Bombyx mori: one gene and its partners. The protein of the gene in region 7 interacts with the protein of the main gene of each other region in a biochemical or structural test. Links are inferred from orthologs where the notes say so. Each region holds a gene or a part of one and is shown on either strand. Other genes may lie near its edges. The genes, in order: general transcription factor IIF subunit 2, general transcription factor IIF subunit 1, transcription initiation factor TFIID subunit 6, Cdk7, general transcription and DNA repair factor IIH helicase subunit XPB, transcription initiation factor IIB and general transcription factor IIE subunit 1.

Region 1 (4,402 bases), on a different chromosome or scaffold from region 7:
TATGACCAATTTTAAGGTAGTTGTTGATGTATATAATTCTATATCAGTATCAAAATGATTGAGTCTTGGGGGCATCTTTGTTATCCAATTTAAAACTATGCAACTAGCATTCCAGTTTATGCAAAAAATGCAAAAATAGGTGTAATCCCTATTTACCCGGAAATTGCGGTTAATTGGGACGAAATGAGAAATTTGCTAGGGTTGGCACTACTTGGTTTTAATTTATTTGTTTTATTTACTTATGATTAATTTATATTTACTTGGGAAATGATCCACGACAGATTTGTCCTGTAAGTTGTGAGACAATTAAAAAAAACATCTATTTTATCACTTAAAATTAGTTCAGCGCAATCGGACAACTCCGAATGAACATTGACGGAGACCACGCTACCGTGGACATTATTGTAGTCCCAAAGGATTCTGTATATGGGAGAGTAAGCACCTAAATTCGAACGAGTGAGCTTTCTTATAAACGGTTTATATTTCTTCGGTCTTGGTAAGTACTTAGGGGCTGATATTTTTATCTGGGTTAAGAGATTAGTTATGTCGGTTATTCCATGGATTAATCAGATGAATACCCCCACTCTGAACAAATATTAAATATTTTATAATGTATTACTTAGACATTTTTGTCCACCTCGAGATTTCATTGTTCTTGTTACATGTCTGTGCAAAATCGACTTACTTATATTAAATTGCTTGGCTATTTCAAGTAAAGACTTATTCCCAATTTCATAGGCTTCTATTGCTGTTTTTAATATTAAGGGATCATATCTCTTATAAGGCTTTGCACTCTTTGATACGTAAACGCGAGGCATATCTAAAAATAGAAAACAATACGTAACTGATAATATATTTACCAAACAATAAAATAACACATTGATAATTTTAAATAAAAGTTCTAGACAAAGACATCATGAATAAACCAGATTTTTACCAACAAATTTAAAAAATATTGTTATAACTACATAGACAACCCTACAAACCTGTACCTATTTATACTTAGGTGGTTTCCATTTCACGTATTCTCATCCCAATTGACCCCTTTTTCGTTGTTATTTGTACCTAAGACGTCCCTAATATCCCCCAAAACAACAGATTTTTACATGTATTTTTATTTTATCAAATACATTAAAACCAATAACAACTGAGACTTACCTTTAATATATATGATGGTTCAAACACTAAATAACGTTTATAAATCACAGTCGTCTTCTATTATTATCAAATAAATAAAAGAGAGCAAAGTTTCTAGCACTAAAATAATTTCCAACACAGGAAGTTAATTTGAAACGCGATTTTTTATAAGTTAGCAGCTATTATCATGCATATTCAGAGTTTTTTTGTGAACTTTCAACATTCTACTATTAAACTACAAAAAATGGAAGATTTTGCAACGAATATAAAACTAATATTGTGCGTCGCAAGATTTTCCCGGTTTTTTCCCGATTCGCCTCTCAATCCCTAATCGCCCCATTTTACGGTATTTATTATATTAATCTGTGGTTAAGCTGTCACCATAGATTATACACTTAATATTTTCGAGAGCTGTCACTTATGTAGGTCTTTTGTGGAAGTGCAAGTAAATTTTCTAAGATTTAGTTATAGTTAAAGGAAATCTTTACGACTTTAGTACTTTTAAAGGCCGTTAAAATAGTGTCCGCTATCGACTGCTAATAGATTTTATATTCCACAACAATGACCGAATTGGACTTATCAAATACTGGTAGAGGAGTATGGTTGGTAAAAGTACCTAAATATATAGCAAACAAATGGGAAAAAGCTCCTGGAAACATTGAGGTAGGAAAACTAAAGATCTCCAGAGTACCAGGAACGAGAGCTAAAGTGCAGTTATCCTTGTCAGAAGCAGTGCTATGTTTAAAGGACCCTGGTGAACAAAGCATACCAAAAGAACATAAGCTTGATGTTTCAAACGTTAATACTCAATCTCTAGGTGTATTTTCGCATATTGCCCGTAAGTAGTCTCATAATTATCTATATTTAACGCCTCCTAACATGTCCTGGTGAACTCAATGATAAAATTAATTTCATGTCTAAAGTTCGATATTATATTAATCGTGTTTATTCATAATATAACCATTTTAGCGACAAATACGGACTCTGTAGTACCAGAGACAGAAAACCTTTACATGGAGGGTAGGATTGTACAGAAATTGGAATGCAGACCAAATGATGATGTGACATACTATAAGCTTAAATCTGAATCAATAAAGAAAGCATCCATGCCTCAGCGACAAGTGCAACAGCTTGACAGGATTGTTCAGAACTTCAAACCAGTATCTGACCATCCACATAATGTATGTTTACTGTTGAAATCTAAAGGATTGATTTACTGTATTTTTCAGCAACTGATCATTAAAACATGCCCCTGACTGCATTGGAAGTCAAACTAGAGATGATTAAAAAGTTTTAAATAGAGCATGTGTAGAGCTCTGAGATCTCCAGATGCAGTTCAATACTCTTTGGATATGTTGTTGAATGAAATGCTTCATATAAATTCTACTAGAAGTATTAAAATACAGGTTGCAGCAATGTCTGCTCCCATTGTATAGCAAAGTTATCATTTAGACAAACTCGAAAATAAAAACATGATTGATCAATATAAAAAATTATAAATTGTGTAGTTATTGATAGCTACTTATCTGATAACAGTCCTCCATAGGTTAGGAATTAATGGGACATAAGTAGTGATTGATATAATTGGAATGGTGGAACGGTAAATAGGGAATGTTTAGTAGCTTGGGATGGCCAAGACTGTAAAATTTGCATCTTGAGCTGGTATAAAATACAATAGGTACTTCCACCTTTTATCTGAAGATGGGTGGGCATTCATATATGTGTGGTATTGGTACAGATAGTAGGGTGTGTGTAGATATTGCTCCTGCTTATGTTTACAGCAAATCATTGTGTGCTTAGTGTGAGTTTTTAACTTCTTGATCAAACGGCCGTCTGGTGTAGTGGTAAGTGACATGGTCACTACACAAGGAGGTCGCGGGTTCGAATCCCGCCAAGGTAAGATATTTGTATGATAAATGTAAATGTCTTTCCAGGGTTATGGGTGTACATTAAATATATGTATGTGTATAATAAAATATTATATTTATTTCCGTTATCTGGTACTTGTAACACAAGTTCTTTACGAACTTAGCACGGGACCAGTTAACGTGGCGTGATTGTTAGTAAATATTTATATTTATATTTATTTATATTTAAAAAATAACTCAAATTTGTATGAAGTTGGAATAGCGCCCCTGCGTTTGCTTCTTGGGGTGCTGTTCCAACTCTGATCGAGAAGTTAAAAAGTTCACACTAAGCACATTGGTTTGAAGGAAAACCTCATACAATAGAATTGAGATTTCGACTTCTCAAGGTTTTTGGTGCTATTCATGTTATGATGACTAGTGAGGTAACCACTTTACACTGGGTGGACCACGGGGTTCTTCACTCATCTATATAGTAAATTAAATTATAAACATCAGTAAATAAAAACAAATGGCTCTGTATATTTTTACTTTCTATGAGCTCTTAAACCAACCAGAAAACTTTTCACAAGTGACACAATGAATAACAACAGGTTTTAAAATTTCTTAAGTTGTTTTACTTTTTGTATTCTATTAAGTTTATTTCATTTCATTATGTTAATCATGCTTTTTTTAATTTTGTATATTAAAATTTCGTAAAATATTTAGATTGACTACCAAGAAAGGAAGAAGGCTGAAGGGAAAAAGGCTCGTGATGATAAAGAAGCAGTGCTCAATATGCTGTTTGCAGCATTTGAGAAACATCAGTATTACAATATTAAGGATCTTCAAAAGGTAATAAATACTATTCTGATGATTTTATATTTGTCTAAACATAAAATTATTAACACATTATTAAGCAAAAAATTTAATCATTGTCTTAATAAAAAAAATAAAGGCCAAAAGAAACTGTTTCACTGTATATATTATATTCTAATTTTGATAATACTGTTCATACTTTGAAACTGAGAATAGTAGTGACTTTGAATTTAAAATTAGATGTTCATAAAAAAAAACACATCTAATTGCATTTTTTTTTATTGCTTTGATGAATGGACGAGCTCACAGCCCACCTGATGTTAAGTGGTTACTGGAGCCCATAGACATCTACAACGTAAATGCGCCACCCACCTCGAGATATAAGTTCTAAGGTCTCAGTATAGTTACAACGCCTACCCCACCCTTCGAACCGAAACGCATTACTGCTTCACGGCGGAAATAGGCGGGGTGGTGGTACCTACCCGTGTGGACTCCCAAGAGGTCCTAGTGAATTATGTAATTATTTTTTCATTAAATCATTATAATAATAGACATAACGATTTAAGTATATTATTTATTGTAATTTCAGATCACCAGACAGC
Region 2 (4,477 bases), on a different chromosome or scaffold from region 7:
TTCTGCCACAAAGTATGCATTCCAGTTTTAAGGGTTAAAGAAGTAATTCAACTTGATGTCTCAGTTAGTAATGCTATTCATGTTGTAATGTCTAAATTCAGTAATAACTTAACACTGGATGGACTATAAAATTACAGATACACCAATTTATGTATTTTCTTTATCCATCATGATACTTTACCTAATATTGTAATATCTCTAAAAATGAAATTGATACCTTTTGTCCGTTGTGGTATTCTCCACCAAACAGCACAAGCTCATTATTGATTGGATGTGGGGTGAGCGTTGCGTACGCTCTGGAGGATGGTGGCTTTTCGAGGACCTTCTCTGATGCAGCATATCGTTTAGCTTCCTCCCGTTCTATCTCAGCTATCACTTTAGCTATATCTTCCTGAAATATACATAATACAAAACTTCTATTAAAATTTTACTTGCTCTTTCTTCAGCTTTAGTTTAGTGACAAAATGACTTTTATTATCATTTACGTCATATCATAGAAGTAGTTTTTGTTATTATATTATCTCCAAATAATTAAAGCTAGATTAAATCATAAAAATATAAATTATTTCGAATTATTTAATTTTATGTTTTTCATGACTTTTACAAAATTTACCCATTTAAATAATTTTAGTAAGTTAGTTTCAATAACATTTAAGTTTATACTACTATATTAGATCCATTAGGGCGTAATTTCAGGTAACTTTTTGAGAGTTTCTAATAAATAGTGCGAAAAGGCATGGTCTAACCTCACCAAGATTTGCGAGTTCTTTTTTTAATTTGCTAGCTAGCTTTTTTTCAGTTTTTGCTGCGGTTTTAACAGCGCCACTAACTTTATTCTTATTTTTCTTTTTACCCATTTTAATGAAAAATAAATTAACTTAAATTTCTAAATATTTTATGAAACAGATTTTTAAGTATTGTGATTATTATTGTAAACAGTTTTTTTTTTCTTTTTTCATTGGCAATGGGAATACAGCCAAAATAATCAAAGCCATATCTGTTTTATGATTATAACTTTTAGGATGGAAGGGCTTGATAGAACATTTGATCCTACAAATACATTCTTACTGAGTTCAAGATTCCGTTCAAATTTTGAGTTCTTTGGACACATTGTCAGAAAGAAGATGACAATTTAGAATAATTGCTGGTAACAGGCAAAGTATGCGGAAGAAGGTTCAGAAGCAGAAGTCCAATGCTATGATTGCACTAGCTGCCTCTACTCTCAACACCTCAGTCCACGATGCCCTCCGGAAAGTCAAGGATAGGCAATGTTGGCGCAGGATAGTCCAAGCGAAATTATTATGGGACGCCATGACCCTCATTGTTGTGGATTATCGACGCAAAGAGGAGGTGACTAACCTTGTGGGTAATTTCTAATGCTGGACGACAATATGCTAAGCTGCTGTAAACATTTGATAAGATTGCTTTTTCGTCACGTATGAAAAAAATGTTTTAAATCCTAATGACTATTGCATGTTTATTAAAATAATAGAAGTCATGAGCATAGTTAAATGATAATATTATTTAGTCATATATGACTTGATACTTATGATCATAAATTCATTGACAGACTGAAATGTGCTCTGTGCTTGATGAAATTTTGACTTTTGACATTAATTTGACAGAATTTTCATTTTGCCAGCACAGTTTGCGATTAGCATTGTTTTAATTGATTACAATATTTTTAATCAAAGAGTAAACTGTAACGTAATAAATTATTTGATTTGAAGAAATTTAACGTGTACGTTAGTGAGATCATGATATCGAGGACTATTGTCATTTGATAAATTTATATACCGTCATTAATCTTGATATTATAGATATAAGTGTAAAAAATGTCTACACCTGGAAGTAGTACGGTAAGATATTATTCGTTCTTAAACGAAAAAGGTGAAATATCGTGATACGATATTTCACCTTTTTCGTTTAAGAACTTAAAACAATCAACAAATTGTGAGGTTCAAAATAATATTAAATTAATATGCAAGAATATGTGTTCTTACTGAAGTAAGTAGGTACATAAAAGGATAATATAACCAAATTTGATAAATTTTACCAAATCATACATAGAATGGTATCGTAATCATTTAAACAATAGTTACGATTTCACAGATATAATAAATTAATTTCTCAGACACCGGCCGCCACAGTACAGGAGTATAAAATAAGAGTGCCAAAGAATGTAAAGAAGAAGTATCATGTTATGAGGTTCAATGCCACATTGAATGTAGATTTTGCAAAATGGACTCATGTCAAGATGGAGCGAGAGAACAACAGCAAAGAATTCAAAGGAGCTGAAGAGGAAATGCCCAAGTTAGTATTAAGAAAATTCAACTCTTTGATGGTGATATCAAATAGATTGACTTAATAATCATAAATTAATTTTCTACATCATTAAAAATAAATGTGAAAAGTATGTCATAATTTTATGGCATAATTATTTAATATTAAGTTAATTCTGTAACTCAAAAAATTTGCATGCTAGCAGATAATAATACAAAGAATAGTCAAAAACTGGAAACCGGTTGGTTAACATTGTTGACACTAAAGACTGACACACCTTAAATTAAGGTTATTTACTCAATGCTTTAAAAAATAGATTTGCCATGAACACCCTTTATAAAAAGTGATCTTAACAGCTCCAAGATTATTGAATACTTGGGAATTAAAATACTACTACTATTACGTAATATTTTTGGTAATACTCGTCACACAAATCCAGATTTGGTGCAGGCTCGGAATACGGACGGGACATGCGTGAGGAAGCACGTCGCAAGAAATTCGGTATAATATCAAGAAAGTACAAACCGGAAGACCAGCCGTGGATCCTGAAAGTCGGTGGAAAGACCGGCAAGAAGTTAGTAATTAACAAATAACAATAACCTCTTCTGATATTGTTTGGTGGTTCCTTTACAACAAATGCACAAGAAATAATTTAATTTCACATGAGTTGGAACAATTTTTACACAACAAAAGATTTATCAGAATCGTTTAACCTAGAAAAAGTTCGAAGATAAAAATAAAATAAATAAAATTAAATCAGAACTTCTTCCTTTTTCATTAAAAGTCAATGATTGAAAACAGGATGAAAAACTGCATATAATTAAATGAAAAGTCTTGTGTTATAGACTAACGTGTGGTTATGCCTATTTGCTTGCTCTATATAATACTAATTAATATGTAACTGGTAATTTTCATATCATGTATTATCATATTTTTAGATTCAAAGGTATTCGTGAAGGTGGAGTATCAGAGAATGCTGCATATTATGTGTTCACTCACGCAGCGGATGGCGCAATAGACGCCTATCCACTCCAGGAATGGTACGGAATGTTCATGCAATATTTACAAAACATGAAAGAAATGCTTCTATTTTATTTAAAAATAATCTGAATGCTGTGTGTGAATCTCTGTTCCTTTATTATTATTTTGTGTTATTAATGTTCTTTTTTAATTGCTCAAATATAGTAGAAAAATGAAGGTAGTTAATTCTTAAGAAACTAAAAACTGAATTCTAACAGGTACAATTTCCAACCGATTCAGAGATACAAAGCGCTGTCAGCTGAAGAAGCCGAACAGGAATTTGGCAGGTAAGATGGTCCATGACATTTTTTTTATTTTTTTTTATTTGCTTAGATGGGTGGACGAGCTCACAGCCCACCTGGTGTTAATTGGTTACTGGAGCCCATAGACATCCACAACGTAACCACCGACCTTGAGATATAAGTTCTAAGGTCTCAAGTATAGTTACAATGGCTGCCCCACCCTTCAAACCGAAACGCATTACTGCTTCACGGCAGAAATAGTCAGGGTGGTGGTACCCACCCGCGCGGACTCACAAGAGGTCCTACCACCAGTAAAATTACTTGTAAATCATTTACTCATATTTTATACAGACTGTCATTCCCGAAAATGAAGGTGCTTTGTAATTATCCTAAATCCTTTGACGATAATGATCTAGAGCTTAAATGATTGTTTTTCGCACTGCATGTAACGATAAATATAATATAGGAAAAAAAAAACCAGATCATAATAGATAGTTGAACTTAAAATTAAAATATATTTTTTTATTGTTGTCTGCATATTTGAAGAATTGAGTACTTATGCTTTATCTAAATAGAAAAAAGACAAAACACTTTATTACATCTCTGTTTCAGGGCAACAGACTATTGTTATAAAACTAATAATTTGAAAAAAAAAGTTTATTTTTTGTACATTAAAGATATACGAGAATGATTACAATAACTTTATTGTTTGAATTATTTGAAAATTTATTGCTTTTTGGTCTCCGTCGCCCCGTATATAGTATATGAGAAAGATGGTTGGACCGAATCCATTGCTGTTTCTAGTGACATTTCAAAATATGTTTCATTGAAGTCGATGATCGATTTTTTTCTGCACTAGGCGTAACAAGGTTATGAATTTCTTCTCGTTGATGTTACGGAAACGGCTCCGCGGAGTCGACGATGCAGACGAA
Region 3 (3,840 bases), on a different chromosome or scaffold from region 7:
CACCGAATTACAAAGATAAATGTCACGAATACACCGAATTACAAAGATAAAATTAAATGTGTCGCGTATTAAACGAAATGTCGCTTAAACGACGAATAAAACGATACTGCTTAATAAAAATAAGGCGGTGCATGCCCACTAATACGTCTTGACACTCGTTTCGCAGTTGCACATCATAAAATTGGAGGTTTAGATTTTATGATCATAGAGGAGACCAATATTATTCCTGCACTGTAGGATTCATTCGTAAACACGTCTTAGATGCGTATTTTCTAGACAAAATGTTATCTGTCCAATCTAGACCATGGCATAAGAGTCCATAGGCCATTCTCTCTACGGCCACGCTTCAATATTTGATACTCATACATGTCTATAGGTAATTGCAGATTTAATAAGTAAATTGTATTGTTTGGGCAGTTACACGAGTTGATTCCGTCCGTGTCGACATGCATAGTATCACGACAGCTGTGCCTTCGTCCCGAGATGGATAACCACTGGGCCCTGCGAGATTTCGCCGCGCGACTCATGGCTCAGATATGCAAAACATTCAATACTTCAACCAATAATCTACAAACGAGAGTCACCAGGTATTTTAATTTGAATAAATTTTAAAGTCACACAATGTATCTGGTAGTTACTATACGAAAATTCTTTGCGCTCAGGTTGTTCGCGAAAGCCCTCCAGTGCCCTTCACAAACAAACAACGAAACGGGTCCTTCTATGGCGAGCATGAAGGAATCGGAGAAGACTCCTCTCGCGTCGCTGTATGGAGCCGTGCAAGGATTGGCAGAGCTGGGCCCCGAAGTCGTTAAAGTGAGTAATCTGTGTGCTTAGTGCGAGTTTTTTAACGTTTTCGATAGCGTGAAAGTTAGCCCAATTTTGTATGCAGTTGGAACAGCGCCCCTAGTGGCAAACGTATGCAAAAGATCCCATTCTGTACGAATATAAGCTAACTTTTACGCCATCGAGAACGTTAAAAAACTCGCACTAAGCACACTGACGCCGTCACGCAGCGCCCTCTACATAGGCGCGTTAAACATTGTCGTGCGTGAATTAACTTATGCACGCCGGGTTTTTAGTTGAATTTGATGGCTGTGTACCGGCGGCCCAGACACGTAGGCGCAGTGTTGGATTTACACTAGGGGCAGTCGGGGCAAGTGCCCAGGCCGGCATATTTTTTAGGGCGGCAAAATTTTTAGTTTTTTTTTTTTAGTTTTATCAAGATTGCTCAATATAATTAATTAATTCTAATAATTAATAATTTCCTTTTTAATTGATAATTCAAGAAATTCAATTCATCCATTATTTGTCAATTATAATTTTGGCACTTTTGGTAAAAATTAATAATCAAAATGGTTTAATCAATTTATTTCCTTGGAGATTTAAAATAATAATCGATTTTTCTATTTTCTATAATTAAAGAAATATAATTAGTTATTTTTTTTGATGAAATATAATTATGAGTCACCCTTAGTCAAAATTTGTAATTGTTAGAAAAAAATATATATATTTATTTATGTTTTTGAAATATATGACATATGATAAAGTTTCCGCAATAAATTAGTCATCCTAATTTTGAAAAATAAAATATATAAATTATAAATTTAGGTAAAATTACAGTATTGGCACGGTTTTTTTTTATTGTTTAGATGGGTGGACGAGTTCACAGCCCACCTGGTGTTAAGTGGTTACTGGAGCCCATAAACATCTACAACGTACATGCGCCCCCCACCTTGAGATATAAGTTCTAAGATCTCAGTATAGTTACAACGGCTGCCCCACCCTTCAAACCGAAACGCATGACTGCTTCACGGCAGAATAGACAGGGCGGTGGTACCTACCCGCGCGGACTCACAAGAGGTCCTACCAGCAGATTTTTTTCCGGTACCGAGGAGCAGTATTATGTTTCAATCCGACCCTGCGTAGGCGTGATAATCTGGCGATTCATGTTAGATCTGGTAAGATGACGCCTTTTTTACAGGTGTTCATTCTGCCGCGCGTGCGTTGGTTGGGAGAGCGCGTGGAGGGCGCGCTGAGCGGTATCGGTGGCGCGGACCGACTGGCGGCCGGCAACCTCAAGCACCAGCTGCTGAAAGTCCTGGCCCCTGTCGTCCGACAACTGCGGCAACCGCCCGACCAACCCGAAGACTACAAGTCAGTCACGTCTTATACACGAATCGTCCTGTTGATTTCCTATTGAACTTTTTATTACTCATGTCCGGTCAGTGATTGTCGATATTCGCGCATATTTATTGACACCTAAAAATTTAGATTAATTTTATATACCTAGGTACAGTACCAGGCAATAAATATTGCACATCGATATTTAGAAAGAGACTGTCGTCTAATTTTGTTATTATTGTAGAGCGTTATCTGTGTGCGATGAAACACCAACGATCCCGTATCTATGGAGATTAAATGTCAATTAGGTAATGTGCGACACATATAACGCTCTACAAAGCAAAAATTAACCATCTCTTTCCCACGGTCGATGTGCAATATTTATCGCCGGGTACTGTATAACATTTTCTTTATTTCTTATTGACGTTTAGAAAATAAACAATGTCAAAAAAAATGTCTAAAGATCTTCAATAGCTAATGAACAAAAAGAATATCAATGATCAAACACAGAAGAAATTTTTTTTCTTCTATAAATTGGCAATATTTTTATATAGATTACCGTAGCATTATTTTTTCGCTACATGGGCCGTTTTCCAATTACAGCACAAGAGCGCATTATGCGGCATAATGCTCAACTAAGCTTCAGCATAATTCGGCATTGTGCGTCACTGAGTCGCATTATGCTCTGTAATTGGAAAACTACCATTAAGTAATGGTTAATTGCCGAATTATGCTGAAGCATAGTTGAGCATTATGCCGCATAATGCGCTCTTTTGCTGTAATTAGAAAACGGCCATGGTTTCTGCTATCCGTCTGAGCATAGGTACCAGTTGATACAGGTATGTTATCAGACCATCAGCTAACCACTTTCCACTACATTTACCTTTAGTCAGTATGCTGAATGGTGTTTATTTTGTAACTCAATCACATTGTGGACCTCGAAAAATGAACTAGAAATGTATCATACACTGTTCTTGATGAAGAATTACTATCGCAACCTTTCGGTTTTGATTTTACTTGTGATGATTCCATATAATGTCATTATAAGAATTGAATATATATTATCATGGGTGGGCCCGGCAATTGTCTTGTCCTGATAATAATAATAAAGCCTTAACGGGTCCAATTGTAATTGGAAATTGTCCAGGGACCCCCTTTTGCGATGCAAAAATAATCATAAGAATCGGGCCAGCAGAATCCCGGCATACATACCCTCTTATTCCAAAAATAACATAGATTGCGATTGGAATGCTACCCTATGTAATGTTTTTTTTTCATGAAAGCCACATTTAAAATTACGTTAATTTTTAGTCCAAAAATAGCCAAGTGAAATGATTAAATATCTATGAACATTTTTTTATATCAGATTTACATAGATAAATTACATACAAAGACATACATTATATTATAGATATATCAGATCTAAATCAGATTCAAGTATACTGTTTTATTCAAGTTCGCAAATAAACAAGTTTTTATTTAAAAGCTTTAAAAATACTTCTATAATATTTTAGTGATTTTTACTTCTGTCCATGTCATACTTAAAACTCCTATTAAAGTCGTTAATCGTATATTTATTTTAACTAGAGGTCCCGCAGTAGTCGAAATTCGACTATAATTAATTGGAATTGTAATTTGTAAGTTTGTACACTATTATGATTGTATTTTATACTTCTATAATCACAAATTTCGCCAAGATTACACTATAAAAAATGTTAA
Region 4 (3,840 bases), on a different chromosome or scaffold from region 7:
TGGCAAGCAGCTGGAAGACGGACGCACCTTGTCAGACTACAACATTCAAAAAGAATCCACACTCCATCTTGTATTGCGTCTTCGTGGAGGCATGCAGATCTTCGTAAAAACTCTGACCGGTAAGACCATCACTTTGGAAGTAGAAGCTTCGGACACAATCGAGAATGTGAAGGCGAAGATCCAAGACAAAGAAGGAATTCCTCCTGATCAACAGCGTCTCATCTTTGCTGGCAAGCAGCTGGAAGACGGACGCACCTTGTCAGACTACAACATTCAAAAAGAATCCACACTCCATCTTGTACTGCGTCTTCGTGGAGGCATGCAGATCTTCGTGAAAACTCTGACCGGTAAGACCATCACTTTGGAAGTAGAAGCTTCGGACACAATCGAGAATGTGAAGGCGAAGATCCAAGACAAAGAAGGAATTCCTCCTGATCAACAGCGTCTCATCTTTGCTGGCAAGCAGCTGGAAGACGGACGCACCTTGTCAGACTACAATATTCAAAAGGAATCTACACTCCATTTAGTGTTACGTCTACGAGGAGGAATGTAATTTCACATACAATCTGTTTTAAAAAAATAAAAAATATACATAGTCAAGCTTACAAGTTCTTTTATTCTCTATTCCATTCTCCCTCAACAAAGTAAAAAAAGTAGAAGACTTATGAGGTCTTAAATAAACTAGGATTTAACTTTGATAATTATGAAGTATTGATTCGTTTCTAAGGCGCCATTTGTAATGACGCCTAGCGTAGATTGCTAGTAAGCTTTGGTTATATATCCATAAGTGGATTGCACGAAGCTGGCATCTGATAAGTTTTAACTGCAACTGCCGTTTTACTGAAGCTGGCCATTTTCGTCTAACCTTTGTATGTCTATAGTTAGTGTGTTTTCTAAATTGATACAGAAATGTCCGTTTGAAGAACTTGAATTATTTTTATTGAATTGATACAGAAATGTCTGAAGAACTAGAATGATTGTTATGTGACCCTTTGCGGTAGGTAGCGGCTTGGCTCTGCCCCTGGTATTGCTGAAATCCATGGGCGACGGTAACCACTCACCATCCGGTGGGCCGTATGCTCGTCTGCCTACAAGGGTAATAAATAAAAAAAAGAAGCTATTGCTACTGATGACAATAGCCAAAGCGCAATTCACTATATTCGAAAAATTGCCCGTGGCCCTTGAACTGCTGCATTTCCCGCTGGATCTTATTAGGTCCAGTACCTAATAAGATGCCAGTTGCGATGCCAATTCAGTGGTAGATTCACCCGAAAAACAGCTACTCTTATGGTCTTAGCTGAGTCCTAATGGGTGCGCTCGAGCAGTTGTTAGCAAATTTCAGACAAATCAACTTCTCTACTCTTTTGTTAGCTTGGTAACGGTTATTTGTTCGTATGTAACGGAATCTTTAATCTAATTAATTTTCATCATCTTCGAGACATCGGCCTAACATGAAAATTTGTACACGCATTGAGGACCGATTACAATACAAGATTTTTTATCTTCGCTTTAATATCTTGACCAGCATCAACAGGATAAAAAATGCTGAATATGATTATTAATTCGGTTTGCTATTTAAGCGTGTTTTTGAAGTTATACTTCTTTAGGCGCGTTATGAAGAATTGATGAGAGTTATATTTTACGATGCGCGCGCACCGTGACACAAAATTAACAGAATGAAGTTGCCCACTAAATCGCTCATTACAATACGACCGACGTAACTTGGTGAGTCTGAATATAGTCGCAGGTGAACTTTCCGAACCGTACCGAGAATTACCGAATTTATACCATGTCAAGAAAAGGGATGTCCAATAAGCGTGTTTGAGGATGTTGTTTAATCGTTTTTTTTTCAAATTGTTTAAAATTTAAATAATAAAAAAAAAGAAATAAATTTTATAAAAATAAAGTATAACTTCTTACGCGCGTACATAAGTACACGCACCCTTTTTTAATTTAATAATATTATTTTCGGCGTTTCCTATTTTTTATAGTTTTCGTGTATATTCGTTTATATGTGTATTTTCGTTTATAGTATTAGTCAGGTTCATCTGTATCTTTAATTATGTCTTCTTCTCACGAAATTTGAAAAAAATACTAAAAAGTAATTCATTACTAATAATTGAAGAGCCAACACTGCAGTATGAAACCTTGAGACAGCCAATAATAAGGTTGACGCTGGTAGCAAGGCTATCATAAGAAGCCGATTGCCATATTGAAAAACAACGAGAGAAAACAGCATTGACTTTAAAGACTACAATCCAGGCCTTAAATAAAAAAAAGTTATGACAATTAAAAAATTCAAAATATTCAAATCAAACCACTCATTCTTGACAGTACCTGTGCAGTTCTTTAGAAGAAATAATAATAAATTTCCGAATGCTTCATACAATATCCTATCAATATTATAATTTAAACTATTTCTACTTCACAGGGTGTGGTAAACAATGAATAATTTTGCTTTTAAAATTGTATGAACGTGGAATTAATAATTATTTGATCATGGAAGAACCAACTTTACGATATGAAAAAATTGACTTTTTGGGCGAAGGACAGGTAAATAAAATAAGGAGTTTAGTAGGTAGCAATGATAAAGACTATTAATACATACTAGGTCATTTATAACCTCAAAATAAAACTACTAAACTAATACAATCCACCACAAATTTCAGTTTGCAACTGTGTACAAAGCAAAGGATGCAAAAACAGACAAAATTGTTGCTGTGAAGAAAATTAAGATAGGATCACGTCTCGAAGCTCAAGACGGAATTAATAGAACTGCTCTTAGAGAAATTAAACTGTTACAGGAACTGCAGCATATAAATCTAATTGGATTATTGGGTATGTATTGTAGGAAGGATTGTATGAGATCGTAGATAGCTTATCTTCTTCAATTTTAATCTGATTAATTGTAAAGATGACAGGATGTAGCTTAGAAAGTAAACATCATTTATTTACACCCATTTTATTCAAATAGTCAAAATCAAGCAGCGAGGAAGATACAATTTCCTAACCTACAGTCGTGAACTATTAGTTCAGAATAATACCACCCTAGAAGTGAGCTTTGGGTGTTGTAATAGGTGACTAATCACCAGAAAAAGAGGAGCTGCATTCTCTAAGTATTCAACCAGAATACGACCATCATTAAATGGTCATTCATCAGGCCTCATATGTTCAACTGTTGTCTATTTCGGCCATTATGTGTTCTTCTTTGAATGGTAGGACAGAAGTAATACGATTGAGATTTAGAACACTTAAAGTGGACAGTAGTATACACATTGAGATGACAAACTCAAAATAAAACTATTATAAAATTACTATTTACTTTAATATCTTAAAAATTCTTAACCTACAATTATTGGCTTTGCAGATGTATTCGGACAGAAATCAAATGTGTCGCTGGTGTTTGACTTTATGGATACAGACTTAGAAATAATAATAAAGGACAATACTATTGTACTTACCCCAGCTAATGTTAAGGCATACATGATAATGACTTTGAAAGGTAAGTTTACATACAAATGTATTTTTTAAAACCTACAAATTTACTGTAGGCCAAGCTTAAAGCCAGCTTACCCTATTTTAAATTTCATATTTGTAATTTACAAATGTTTTGTGAAAAAGTTCTAAGTTTAAATTCATTGTCAGTTAAGATTTTGTTTTATTTTATAAGTGTTTGTTACTTTATAATAAGTTGTTTAACATTGGGACATAAATTCTTGCATCTGTTTGAATCTTCTAGTACCTATGTAAGATGACTCTGCATGTCACTTTTTTGTAGTGTCAAACACAGCATTGGCAAATTAATTTTTTTTGTTAATTTATTGGGTCTAGGAAACTTGT
Region 5 (3,500 bases), on a different chromosome or scaffold from region 7:
TACGCGGCAGTTTCGGTGGGCCTACAGACCAATGACATTATTGAGTACCTGCAGAGACTGAGCAAGTGTGCTGTACCGGCCGGCATCGTAGAGTTCATTAAACTATGTACCCTCTCTTATGGTAAAGTGAAGCTGGTGTTAAAACATAACAGGTCAGTTCTGCTTCATTGCTTGTCATCCATCTAAAATAAAATTAAGCTAGGTAAGGCTAATCATTTTATTTTTCGATCACGATTTTTAGTAGCTTCTCAGATGAGCTGGTGAAAAACATGTTCGTACCGGTATAAGGACTTCAATGCTCCCTGTGCTGTGTAGCATATGTATTATGGGGACGACTCTGAGGAATTTTTTGCCTAGGAGTGTGCCACCGAATTTACTAATATTCATTGCATAAATAGCGACCACCCTCCTGATGCTAATAGCAAAATATGCCTTCACAAAGTTCATTAAAAGCTGTTTATTCAGAGCCAGAAAGAAGAGTATTTAAACAGTTAGAGTTTTTTTATTATTTATTACCCTTATAGGCAGACGAGCATACGGCCCACCTGATGGTGAGTGGTTACCGTCGCTCATGGACTTCAGCAATGCCAGGGGCAGAGCCAAGCCGCTGCCTACCGTATATAAAAACGTAGTACAAGAATACTGTTTGTAATAATATAAAGTTTGCAGGTATCTAGTCGAGAGTAAGCACGTGGAGGTACTGCAGAAGCTATTGAAAGATCCAGTGATTCAACAGTGCAGGCTGCGACGCGACGGCGACGAGGATCTGCTGTCCAACGACCTGCCCGCCAAGCCAGCCACGTCCCTCGCCAAACCAGGTGACGTATGCCTCAGCAAGACGCGGCGTCGAAGCGTAATACTTAGAGTTGGTTTCCTGTAAGCGGTCGCGGTTTTAACATCGAACGAATGGTACCTAGTGATCGCCTTTGACTATTTTGCAAACAAAGGGTTTATCTAAATTGGAAACAATTAACATAGAGCAACAAAACTTCCATCAAGTGATATGTCCCAATATTTTTGATTAGTATAGATATACATAAACACGAAATGTTTATAAAACATTCTTTTAGGTTTTGTTAGATTTAACAAAAAAATAACAATTCAGATACTCTCTTAACTTATAGAGTGACGCCGGAGGTTGTTTTCAAGTCATAATAACTAAAATGTTATGTGTGATTTGAATAAACAGGACTAGTCATATAGTGGAAAAATAGCATAGTGTGCATTACAGTGGAAAGTCGTCGTGGCCTAAAGGATAAGACGTCCAGTGCATTCGTACCTAGCGATGCAACGGTGTTCGAATCCCGCAGGCGGGTACCAATTTTTCTAATGAAATACGTACTTAACAAATGTTCACGATTGACTTCCACGGCAAAGGAATAACATCTTGTAGTAAAAATTAAACCCGCAAAATTATAATTTTCGTAATTAATGGTGGTAAAATAAATAAAAAATTGTTACGTTACAAATATTTGCTTTTTTTATTGCTTAGGTGGGTGGACGAGCCCAGAGTTCATAGACATCTACAATATAAATACCGTCACCCACCTTGAGATATGAGTAAGGTCTCAGTATAGTTACAGCCGCCCCACTCTTGAAACCGAAACGCATTACTGCTTCACGACGGAAATAGGCAGGGTGATAGTACCTACCCGTGCGGACTCACAATACGTCCTACCACCAATTACTTATTTGCCTATTTACATATTACTGATTGTGTTGCCGAATTTTAAAACGATGACGTACCATTTGTAAGAAGCAATTTGTGTATGTTTCTGTAGTGACCTATAAAACTTATCCTTAAAATAATCTCGTAACTGTCTGTCCATCTGCGTCTTAAGTTTACTTGACTGCTTCTCAAACGATCAGGTGAAGAAAAACCACCGGCGGCGAACGGCGCTGTGCCCGACGACATCAGTCAGTTCTATCAGCAACTAGATAAGGATGACGACGAGGAGGAGACCTCTGGTGTTACTGCCAACGCAGCTGTTGCCTTTGAAGTGGATCCTGACAAAATCGAAGTGAGTGTGCCAATGAATATTAATCCTATTGAAAATTTTAGCAACCCATACATTTTTTTTATTGCTTATATGGGTGGACGGGCTCACAGCCCACCTGGTGTTAAGTGGTTACTGGAGCCCATAGACATCTACAACGTTAATGCGCCACCCACCTTGAGATATAAGTTCTAAGGTCTCAAGTATAGTTACAACGGCTGCCCCACCCTTCAAACCGAAACGCATTACTGCTTCACGGCAGAAATAGGCAGGGTGGTGGTACCTACCCGCGCGGACTCACAAGAGGTCCTACCGTAGCATCGGTCACCACTTTCGTCGAACCCGTCGCTTGCGACGAAGGGCTCGGCGAGTAAACTTACCCACCGACCCAGCCCACTGAGTTTCTCAGTAGGTCGCGTTTCCGATCCGGTGGTAGATTCTGCGAAGCACGGCTCTTGCTAGGGCTAATGTTAGCAACGTCGTCAGGTTTAAGCCCCGTGAGCTCACCTACTTGTTAAGGCTACGCTGAAATGGTCTCTCAAGACCATCAAGCTTAGATAGGGAAAAAATAATAAAAAAAGGTATTTAAAACATACTGTGTGTTCAAAAAAAAAAAAAAAAATTGTTTTATAAACCATTTTGTTTTAAGGTAATACAAAAACGTTGTATCGAGTTGGAGCATCCATTGCTGGCTGAGTACGACTTCCGGAACGACTCCATCAATCCGGACATCAACATTGATCTTAAACCAACTGCCGTTTTGCGACCTTATCAAGAGAAGAGCTTGAGGAAAATGTTCGGCAACGGCAGGGCGAGGTGAATAGCCATTGCTTTGTTTGGTTCTGACAAAATTAGTCTATTCAGTCACAGGAATACAGCAAGGCAGTGATTTTTGACACGATGACATCATGCATTGCACGCTGACTAACATAGGCAATTGATGGAATCGAAGCTCGGGGTCGGGTGAGAAACGCATTACTGCTTCACGGCTGAAATAGGCGGGTGGTGGTACCCACCCGCCCGGACTCAAGAGGTCCTACCACCAATTACTTATTTGCCTGTTTACATATTACTGATTGTGTTGCCGAATTTTAAAACGATAATTTTTATAACACGATGTTATTCCTTCACCGTGGAAGTCAATCGTGAACTTTTGTGAAGTACTTATTTCATTAGAAAAATTGGTATCCGCCTGCGGGATTCGAACACCGGTGCATCGCTCGACACGAATGCACCGGACGTCTTATCCTTTAGGCCACGACGACTCAGTAATGCACGGCACTTCCTGTATGTACCAGGTCAGGCGTGATAGTGTTGCCGTGCGGCGCCGGCAAGTCGCTGGTGGGCGTGACGGCGGTGTGCACGGTGCGCAAGCGCGCCCTCGTGCTCTGCAACTCCGGCGTCTCCGTGGAACAGTGGAAGCAACAGTTCAAGTGCTGGTCCACGGCGGACGACAGCATGATCTGCAGGTCACTGACCCCATTATTTTAACCGACTTAAGGC
Region 6 (4,574 bases), on a different chromosome or scaffold from region 7:
AATGTTGCCTTCACTTTTGCAATTTATTCCTACCCATCCCTAATTAGGGGTAAAGTATTTATAATGAAAGCATGCACGGGACCATCCTACTCGTTTGTGCTGCCAATTATTAGTGTAATTTGGTATCTGGTAAATAAGATAGTATTACAATATTATTGGATCGGGCACAAGTACGCTCATCGGCGGTGCATGTCCAGAGATCTTTTTTGGCACGTATCTTCTGACTGCGAAATGAACTCTCCTTCACCGTGCTTCACGAGCCCCATGACTTCATTCTTCAAACTAGCCTTATGGAGAGTACTTACCGGTAAGCATCGACTTGGTTGTGGTTCTGACATTGCTGATGTCCATGAGCGACGTCAATAACTGACCACCAGGTGGCCTTATGCTCGTCCGTCTGCAAAAGCCATAAAAAATGCAAAGTTTATAGGTAATGAAAACTCTGATTCCGGTGGAGAGTAATATAGCGACATCTATCGGCCATGCCGTGAAAACCGGAGGCTTTTCTGATTGTTGTGTGAGCACCGGTATTTCCGGTATTGTTTAATGAGTGTATTGTTATAAAATTATGTATACATTTGGAAAAGTGCATAAATGTTGAGAAATGAATTAAAATAGCCAAACATAGTTCCTCGAGTTTTTTCAAAAAGTTCACATAAGTCTCAGTAAATTCCTTTTACTGGAACCTTTTTATTTTTCATTTTATATCGATTCATTTCATTTAATTTTATTCAGTTTTATCCAGGCTGATGATACAATTCCAGAGAATTCAAATTCATTTCATTCCGCCCCATTTCATTTTTTATTTAGGTACCAAAATTTAAATTTTAATATAAAAATTACTTTGTGCATGTATGTATGTATTTATTAATCATTTATGATTATTATACATTGACATAAGCTCGACGCTGGGTTCATAAGGGGGATCCCATCATTGGGATCGCAAGAGGATAATGATTGATTGCCATACTGAAAAAAAGATAAGAAGTCAGGTAGTTAAAAAACCGAGATAGGGAATTTAAATTACTTCGTATTTGCATAATTATTTCTAAAGAAGATAGAAATTTAATAAGATGTAATTAAAAAAATTATATCTAAGAGCGCTCCGCGCTATCGCTATCGCGATTTATAACACCTAGACAGAAATGAAGTTTCTGTGTAAGCCCGAAAGTATTTTAAAATATTTGTGATATTAGGGGAAACGATAGTCCAAACAGCTTTCTTAGAAGAAATTATTTCATATGGGGTCCCACATGAAATAATTTGATACTTGAGAACTCCGGCCCATGGAGCCTTGCTCCACGCGAGACTGATCATATTAATTACAGAACTATATAATATCATGGACCTGTCTTTGATCATGCGTAATCTACTATTTCATACTGTTGAATATCCCTTGCATTTGAGAAACCAAGTTGGCATGGCAGCACTACTAGCAGTTAAACTAATAATTTCCTACATTAAATTTAGAACAACCACATTATTATCAAAGTAATTCACTAATAAAGTACGATACTTGGGGAAAAACTAGACACAAGCGCTGCTTCACTTTAATAATGTTTACTCATTTTTGTGCATGATTTAATACCCTTTACTATGTCACATGCCTGTCAAGATCAAAGAATAAAACAAAACTGTGTTTATGGTATTCAAATTGACAACGACATTAAAAAAATATTTGGAGTATTGTCTATGTTTTCTGACCACCATGGCGAGTACATCGAGGTCTGTTTTTCTGTGTTATTTTATTTATATTAGCTTTAAACCGAGACTTAGTTCATTTATACAAAGCCGATAAGCAATACGATAGATATTCGTGATGAGTAAGTTGGTGATAGTACTTAAGTGGTGTTTAAAATCGCGTTAAAATAGCATACGATTTCTACTTGTTAGATTGTGAACCTACTTTTGTTTGTGTTTTTAGAATTGAGGCGAATAAAGTGGTTTGCTATGCTCACCCTGATGCGCCCCTTATCGAGGATTACAGAGCGGGTGATATGATATGTTCTGAATGCGGTTTGGTGGTCGGAGACAGGTAAGTTAGTACCTTTATTTGCGAAACAAAACGTTGGAACGCGCGCGCTATTCTACTGTCATGTCGTAACAACAACTTCAATAGCGACGCATTTGATTTCTATATTTCGAGGTCGGTATATAATCAATTTGTACTGTGAATATCATTCACATTAATGTTACGGGAATTCTTTAAGAATATTATGAAGTTCACGGAGGCTAAGTGAACTTTCTGAAGTAACAGTGAACAGAATATTTAATACACAAAACGCATTTTTCGTGCTTTGAAAAATTTTGGAGTTGATACATAAAAATGACAAAAGAAACATTCTAAATTGCTACATTCTTAGTAAAAAAATTCTTACCTTGCAGAGTCATAGACGTCGGTTCGGAGTGGCGTACTTTTAGCAATGAGAAGTCTGGAGTAGATCCGTCTCGTGTTGGTGGTCCTGAAAACCCACTTTTATCTGGAGGTGATTTGTCAACTATCATTGGGCCAGGACGAGGAGATGCATCATTTGACAGCTTTGGAGTTTCCAAATATCAAAATAGAAGAAACATAAGCAGCACAGATAGAGCCTTAATCAATGCATTCCGAGAAATCAACACAATGGCGGATAGAATTAATCTTCCAAAAACTATTGTGGACAGAGCAAACAATCTTTTTAAACAGGTAAATTTAGTACTCTAGTATCCAAACATCTAAATATGTTACTCTTTTGTGCCATAAAATAGTATTATCCCATCTTTCCCATAGCTATCCTAAATCAACCAAGAGATTCAGCATTCTGTCGATATGGCATCATATTGAGATTGCCAACAGAAAAACTTGTTATTTTTTATGAATTGATCGTTTATTTTATTATTTTTATTATTTATTTATGTTATGTACTGATTCTTGCATATTAATGTATATTGGCTAAGTTAACATTTAAGTCGTTCTCTGTTGGTTGATGCAGAAAAGAAAGTATGTGCATTGATTGTTATACTATATTTACTATGTATAAACTAAGTATGTTTATTAGACAAACCTAGGATTACATAACAATATCTATATTTTAATACATACATACATAGAGTATTATAATACATAAATATGAAAATGTTTCACATCTCATTTGAGATTAAGCACTTTTGTATGTGTTCTCTCTTTTAAGCTGGTGAATTCAAATGAATAGCACCTCAAATTCTAAAGGTTTTTTTTTATTTTTCAATACAATACCTATTTGGAAGCAGAAATGTTCAAGACAATTCAATAGTCACACTAAAATTTGAAAGGATAACAAAAAAAAAACCTCTAATAAAAGTAGAATTTAATTTTCTTAGGTAAAATTCCTACTAGGTTGAATTTTAAAAATTAGATTTTTCATTGCATTGCATTCCATCATATTGCAGGTTCACGACGGTAAAAACTTGAAGGGTCGTGCCAATGATGCTATAGCTTCAGCTTGCCTCTACATTGCTTGTCGTCAAGAAGGTGTGCCACGTACATTTAAAGAGATCTGTGCCGTCAGCAAGATAAGTAAAAAAGAAATAGGAAGGTGTTTCAAATTGATTCTGAAAGCACTGGAGACTTCAGTTGATCTCATTACAACAGCAGATTTTATGTCTCGGTTTTGCTCGAATTTGGGTCTGCCAAATTCAGTGCAACGCGCAGCTACACATATCGCAAGGAAAGCTGGAGAGCTGGACATAGTGTCTGGAAGAAGTCCTATTTCAGTTGCTGCAGCTGCCATTTATATGGCTTCACAGGTATATTAATAAATTTATTACTATTCTACTATAACCTATTCTTCATCATTGTAGGCTTAAGGAATTAATGACAATAATGAAATATTTAATTCAATTTGTAATTGACATTTTAATATCCTCAATATTGAAAACATGATTGCTTCATGTCATAAATGGGCAGGATTCCTACTGTAAATATGCAAATTGACACAATTTTGTGTATTTGATTTTTATCAAGCATTGTACATCCCCTTTATTGTGGAAGTCACTCGTGACCACATGTTTATATAGATATTATATACATTTTATTACTATTTCAGGCATCAGAAGACAAACGCAGTCAGAAAGAGATCGGCGATATTGCTGGTGTTGCGGACGTTACGATCCGACAGTCTTACAAATTGATGTATCCATCCGCAGCAAGACTGTTCCCTGAAGATTTCAAATTCGCAACTCCTATTGAATTCCTACCACAGATGTAGACTACATGTTTTTGTACTATTAGAATTGCTTTAAAATGTATGTGAGCAGTCTGAAAAATCTTGTAAGTTTTCTTAATGTTATAGTTTGTTAATATGTCCTAACTGGATGACTCTTCTTGAGAAGAATTCTCATAAAGATATGCCCCCTTAAATAAGTATGTTATTCACATATTTTATACTGATCAGTTAGATCACTAATGATACTGTCATAATATGAATAATAATATGTCATACTCATCCTTGTCTACCTTCTTAATGAGGTAATTCAGTGTATTGATTACAGGAGTATATATACCGATAATGAGTGATACAAATACTATTCCAACATTGGCTGCAGAACTGCAAAGA
Region 7 (4,354 bases):
ACTGGACTGATTTTGAGAGAAGCAGCAAAATTAACAGCTCGATGAACAGGTCCATTATGATTATTGTTAGATGGTTTTAGACTTCTCCGTAACATCTTACAGTGATCTTAACCACAACATTGTCAAAAGACAAAAGTTATACAATGGCGGACAGTGTATAAAGTTATGTCTGTATCGTATCGATTTTATGATTGTAAATTTTCGTAAGCTCTGACTTCCTAGTCCAACCAATGTTCGCGTTCGCTCGACTTCAAGCAAAATTTTGACATATACTACTTGAACTTTGAATAGACACCTATTCAGTGATAGTGGTATACATTTATAGGTTAATCTGTTTAATTTAGTTATATATTTATGTTTTTCTATTGAAATAAATTGTTGGTCACAAGACATAAAATCATTATTGTATTAAAATTTGAAGTCTTCGTGGCGTAAAGAACTAAGACGCCCGGTGCATTCCGGTGATATGCGTACCTACTTGAAAAATATTCACGAATTACTTTCACGGTGACGGAATAAGAACATCTAATAAAAATCAAATACGCAAAAATTAGAAGTTACTTATTTACAGATAGAAGGGCGTCTTGTGAACCCACACGGGTAGGACCTACTCTGCCTATATCCGTCGTGAAGCCGTCTCATGTCGCGTAAATTAAAATACGGTATGATTTAAAATTGTACCGAAAATGAACCTTTACTTCTACTTATTTTATTCGACGAGTGAATAAAAAAAAACTAAAATGAACACGCTGATTTCAGAGTAAAGTGACGTTGTCTAAAAAAATTTAATTGATAATTAATTAGATATGTATGTTTTATAAACCGTTTTTCATAAACCCAATGAGATTTAATAAAAACAGGCTTACTTAGCAGTTCATAACTTCAGGTTAGTAGTAACTCGACTCTATCAAAGGAGACTGAAACGATTACATACATTTTTGGGCCCGAATGTAACGTGATGAAACTAATATGAATTAATAGATTCAGATTTATCAGTACCTTGCTGAAAATTATAAAAGTTTTCTCAATCTGAGAGCCGAGTTAATAAAGATTTAGTAAAAGTTAGGTTATGTTACAATCTCTTTAAAAGAGCTGAATAATAACTTATTTAAGCAAGGTTATGTTACAATCTCTTTAAAAGAGCTGAATAATAACTTATTTAAGCAAGGTTATGTTACAATCTCTTTAAAAGAGCTGAATAATAACTTATTTAAGCATAAGTAAATGTTTATTATATCCATTGGATAATCATTTAAATGTCATAATAAGAGTGAATATCAATGATATATATTAGGTATGGAATATGGAATTGCTATCCCACAATTCACACAGCGATCCATAATTTCTACAGTATCCAATGCAACAATTTCAAGTCAAACGTGTGAGCGATCTTCGGTGTCCAGTGTAGAAGCAATTGTCGTACAAGGCTGGCAGAGTTGGAATCCGTAATAATAAAGCAGTGATCGTTGAAAATATAAAAACAGCCCGATAGATACACACTCAAAATGCGTCGAAAATACAAAACGAGTAAAGCAGAAAAAACCAACAAGCGCCAAAAAATAATTGTATAATCTATGAACAAACGTCATGTCAGCTTACTGTCAAAGCTGTCATCAAAAATACAATCGATTTTAATCGATTTGAAATCGATAATCATATTACTTTGTTAAGTAATAATAGACTTTTTCTTCATTTATGTATATAATCGCAATTAAATCCGGCGTATACCGTACTTGTATACAACAAGTATAAATCGTTCATTTAATTACTTTGCTTTAACTACCTAGTGCAATGTTTTTCTTTTTATAATCCTGTAATCGATTAATTAAATCGATCACACCGTTATACCGACAAAAACTAACTTTCTCATTTTTCTCCGGTCCCAGAAAGAGGATTGAGGTGATTTTTTATATTCTTATATAAAAAAATATGACAAATTTTTTAGACTACATTCCAAGTTATTACATTTTTGGCCCACGATTTTCCGTCTCCTTTATCTCTATTCTATTGTCTCTCATAAATATACAACTTCGGACACAGTACAGATGCGGTCGACATAAATATTAGTATTAATACTAAGTATGTACTGATAATGGAATGACAAATAGACTAGTAGTAGTAGTGACTTATTTTAATTGAAAACTAATGATTTTCAACTTTTTGTCGGCTTTCTTTAGTGTCAGACATTGTTACTAATTATTGATTTTACATTTCATTGGGACTTTTAATTTGGACTTTTTTACTTTCGAAAGTTTGGTTTTAAATATTTTCTTGTATGTCTTAAATTCGCGTTTCTTTTTGCGGTAAGTTGTGGATGTTGTAGCGCGCGGTGCATTGTCTATTTTCAGTATATACGCTTAATTTAAACGCAAGTTCGGAGCAGAATTAAACGTATAAAACGTAACGTTACCTTTTACCTTTTTTTTGTAAGTTCGCCCCAATTGAAATATTCCTAATCGAATGATGTAGTAAGTCGAATAATTCGATTGGAAATTCATAATCGCGTATCGTTAGTTGGTAGTACTGAAGGTATGAAGATGGTGGATTAGACATAGACAATACTGACATTGTGAATTTGTCAAACATTTTTATTTGCAAACACTTACCGACAATTTCTTCAATGAATGGCTGCGATTGAGAAAGTGAAGGTTGTGGTCCTCGGTGATTCAGGTATGCTTATTTCTTCTAATTTCGTTGTCGTCCATTTATTATAGCACATACAAGTAGGCACATAGAATTTCACAAAATAACAATACGTTTATTATAACGCTCCGCCATGACACCTTAATGATAGCCAACATTACAAAAATAGGTGCGAACGTAGTGGTCACATTCGATAATATCGATATTTGTTTACAATAATGAGAAAGTTGACTTATTGTTTTTAAATTTATCTGAAGTTTTAAAAATTAAAATTTAGTTTATCTCGTGATTATCCATAGTCGAAAACGTATTATAACATTATTATAAATTAATTCATTAATATACTTTCTTAAATAATAGTAGGCAGAAAAACTTTTATTACATTTGAATAGACATCTACGTAATATTGACGTTAGACTTTATAAAGAGGGTGTGCTAGAGCTAGTTGGCGCTCTGTTTCCACTTCCCACACCCCATTTTATATGCTTGTACTATATCTAGAATAGACATCGGGACTTAAATCGTTCACGTTAGTGAACTCGTTCACTAAATCTCGTTCCGTAGAGTGAACTTTGTGCTTAGTGCGAGTTTAACGTTCTCGATAGCGTAAAAATTAACCCGATTTTGTATGCAATTGGAATAGCGCCCCTAACGTAGGCAAACGATCCCATCCCATACAAATATTAGCTAACTTTTACGCTATCGAGAACGTTAAAAAACTCGCACTAAGCACACTGGTTACTTAAAATCGTTCCGTACTTCCTTTACGGGGAATCTATTCTGTATAGTCGTACTGCACATGGTTACAACTCCGGAATCGAAACCTTTTCAATCACAGCAGAAGCGATTTCATTAAAATTGCGATTTCTTCATACTTCAGGCAGACTTAAGACTGATAATAATAATGTGATAACTAAACAACACAAACTAAAATTAATTGAAATGTCTAGTTACCTAGTAGGTATACCGACTCGCAAAATGTAAGAGAAAGTACCTATTCTGAAAATAATGAAAATATGTGAATGAGTTCATTAAAATTTGATTCATCGGAACGAATCGCTCGCGAGCTACACAAATTTAATTTAGTATCTTTAGATTACATAATTACTATATTTTATAACGAACTTAGATTTTATTTTTGTCAGAATTTCCGTAATGAGTTTTGCCATCAGATCCATTATTGTAATCTAATTAGATCGATATATTTTTTATGGTTTCGAAATAATAAAGCATTTAAATTGTAGGTGTGGGCAAAACATCTTTAACACATTTGATAGCACACAATAAGCCCATTTTATCGCCGGGATGGACGGTCGGTTGCTCTGTGGAAGTTAAATTACACAAATACAAAGAAGGAACACAAGCCCAAAACACGTTCTTCGTAGAACTTTGGGATGTCGGAGGCTCAAATGGACATAGAAACACAAGAGATGTGTTTTACCAACCAACGCATGGTTTGTTATATTAGAAAAATATGTTTTAATTTGATTTTTTATGGATGAACGAGTTCACTGTCCATCTGGTACCACCAATAACGACTACAAATCACGTCGACATATACCTAGTCGTTTGTCAACGTTCAGACCAAAACACATGATTGCTTGGTGATAAAAAAGGGCTCCTAACCCTGTGGGTTCATACGCGACCTATCCACAGTAATAATTCAAATTTATAAAATGCATAATACACGATGCAGTTCCCATATCAAAGT

Evidence for each region.
Region 1: the proteins of general transcription factor IIE subunit 1 (region 7) and general transcription factor IIF subunit 2 form a complex in vitro, tested with the Homo sapiens proteins (2 studies listed by BioGRID). The link is inferred for Bombyx mori from reciprocal best matches to the Homo sapiens genes GTF2E1 and GTF2F2.
Region 2: the proteins of general transcription factor IIE subunit 1 (region 7) and general transcription factor IIF subunit 1 form a complex in vitro, tested with the Homo sapiens proteins (3 studies listed by BioGRID). The link is inferred for Bombyx mori from reciprocal best matches to the Homo sapiens genes GTF2E1 and GTF2F1.
Region 3: the proteins of general transcription factor IIE subunit 1 (region 7) and transcription initiation factor TFIID subunit 6 form a complex in vitro, tested with the Homo sapiens proteins (2 studies listed by BioGRID). The link is inferred for Bombyx mori from reciprocal best matches to the Homo sapiens genes GTF2E1 and TAF6.
Region 4: of the proteins of general transcription factor IIE subunit 1 (region 7) and Cdk7, one has a biochemical effect on the other in vitro, tested with the Homo sapiens proteins (3 studies listed by BioGRID, with this or other methods). The link is inferred for Bombyx mori from reciprocal best matches to the Homo sapiens genes GTF2E1 and CDK7.
Region 5: the proteins of general transcription factor IIE subunit 1 (region 7) and general transcription and DNA repair factor IIH helicase subunit XPB form a complex in vitro, tested with the Homo sapiens proteins (2 studies listed by BioGRID). The link is inferred for Bombyx mori from reciprocal best matches to the Homo sapiens genes GTF2E1 and ERCC3.
Region 6: the proteins of general transcription factor IIE subunit 1 (region 7) and transcription initiation factor IIB form a complex in vitro, tested with the Homo sapiens proteins (2 studies listed by BioGRID). The link is inferred for Bombyx mori from reciprocal best matches to the Homo sapiens genes GTF2E1 and GTF2B.

What each region holds. Positions count from the first base shown.
Region 1 is NC_085110.1:12,712,120-12,716,521, reverse strand, and holds the start of general transcription factor IIF subunit 2, read left to right. Parts: upstream 1-1,506; 5' UTR 1,507-1,698; coding exon 1,699-1,975; intron 1,976-2,106; coding exon 2,107-2,318; intron 2,319-3,710; coding exon 3,711-3,836; intron 3,837-4,389; coding exon 4,390-4,402. UniProt on the Homo sapiens protein: TFIIF is a general transcription initiation factor that binds to RNA polymerase II and helps to recruit it to the initiation complex in collaboration with TFIIB.
Region 2 is NC_085121.1:15,714,998-15,719,474, reverse strand, and holds the start of general transcription factor IIF subunit 1, read left to right. Parts: upstream 1-1,575; 5' UTR 1,576-1,835; coding exon 1,836-1,859; intron 1,860-2,134; coding exon 2,135-2,313; intron 2,314-2,722; coding exon 2,723-2,857; intron 2,858-3,221; coding exon 3,222-3,323; intron 3,324-3,521; coding exon 3,522-3,590; intron 3,591-4,404; coding exon 4,405-4,477. Other genes in the region: kelch domain-containing protein 4, read right to left, coding at 218-391, 747-857. UniProt on the Homo sapiens protein: TFIIF is a general transcription initiation factor that binds to RNA polymerase II and helps to recruit it to the initiation complex in collaboration with TFIIB. It promotes transcription elongation.
Region 3 is NC_085121.1:11,006,751-11,010,590, reverse strand, and holds part of transcription initiation factor TFIID subunit 6, read left to right. Parts: intron 1-417; coding exon 418-587; intron 588-662; coding exon 663-813; intron 814-1,981; coding exon 1,982-2,154; intron 2,155-3,840. UniProt on the Homo sapiens protein: The TFIID basal transcription factor complex plays a major role in the initiation of RNA polymerase II (Pol II)-dependent transcription.
Region 4 is NC_085127.1:9,219,135-9,222,974, forward strand, and holds part of Cdk7 (cyclin dependent kinase 7), read left to right. Parts: intron 1-606; exon of another isoform or gene 607-983; intron 984-2,431; 5' UTR 2,432-2,499; coding exon 2,500-2,553; intron 2,554-2,669; coding exon 2,670-2,838; intron 2,839-3,367; coding exon 3,368-3,502; intron 3,503-3,840. UniProt on the Homo sapiens protein: Serine/threonine kinase involved in cell cycle control and in RNA polymerase II-mediated RNA transcription. Cyclin-dependent kinases (CDKs) are activated by the binding to a cyclin and mediate the progression through the cell cycle.
Region 5 is NC_085117.1:11,798,180-11,801,679, reverse strand, and holds part of general transcription and DNA repair factor IIH helicase subunit XPB, read left to right. Parts: coding exon 1-152; intron 153-669; coding exon 670-818; intron 819-1,869; coding exon 1,870-2,021; intron 2,022-2,646; coding exon 2,647-2,813; intron 2,814-3,295; coding exon 3,296-3,466; intron 3,467-3,500. UniProt on the Homo sapiens protein: ATP-dependent 3'-5' DNA helicase/translocase. Binds dsDNA rather than ssDNA, unzipping it in a translocase rather than classical helicase activity. Component of the general transcription and DNA repair factor IIH (TFIIH) core complex.
Region 6 is NC_085110.1:3,773,080-3,777,653, reverse strand, and holds the start of transcription initiation factor IIB, read left to right. Parts: upstream 1-1,566; 5' UTR 1,567-1,642; coding exon 1,643-1,725; intron 1,726-1,924; coding exon 1,925-2,035; intron 2,036-2,385; coding exon 2,386-2,686; intron 2,687-3,408; coding exon 3,409-3,765; intron 3,766-4,064; coding exon 4,065-4,226; 3' UTR 4,227-4,574. UniProt on the Homo sapiens protein: General transcription factor that plays a role in transcription initiation by RNA polymerase II (Pol II). Involved in the pre-initiation complex (PIC) formation and Pol II recruitment at promoter DNA.
Region 7 is NC_085128.1:9,617,722-9,622,075, reverse strand, and holds the start of general transcription factor IIE subunit 1, read right to left. Parts: upstream 3,068-4,354; 5' UTR 2,671-3,067; coding exon of another isoform or gene 2,625-2,670; 5' UTR 2,607-2,624; exon of another isoform or gene 2,511-2,606; intron 56-2,510; coding exon of another isoform or gene 1-55. Other genes in the region: rab-like protein 3, read left to right, coding at 2,625-2,670, 3,888-4,097.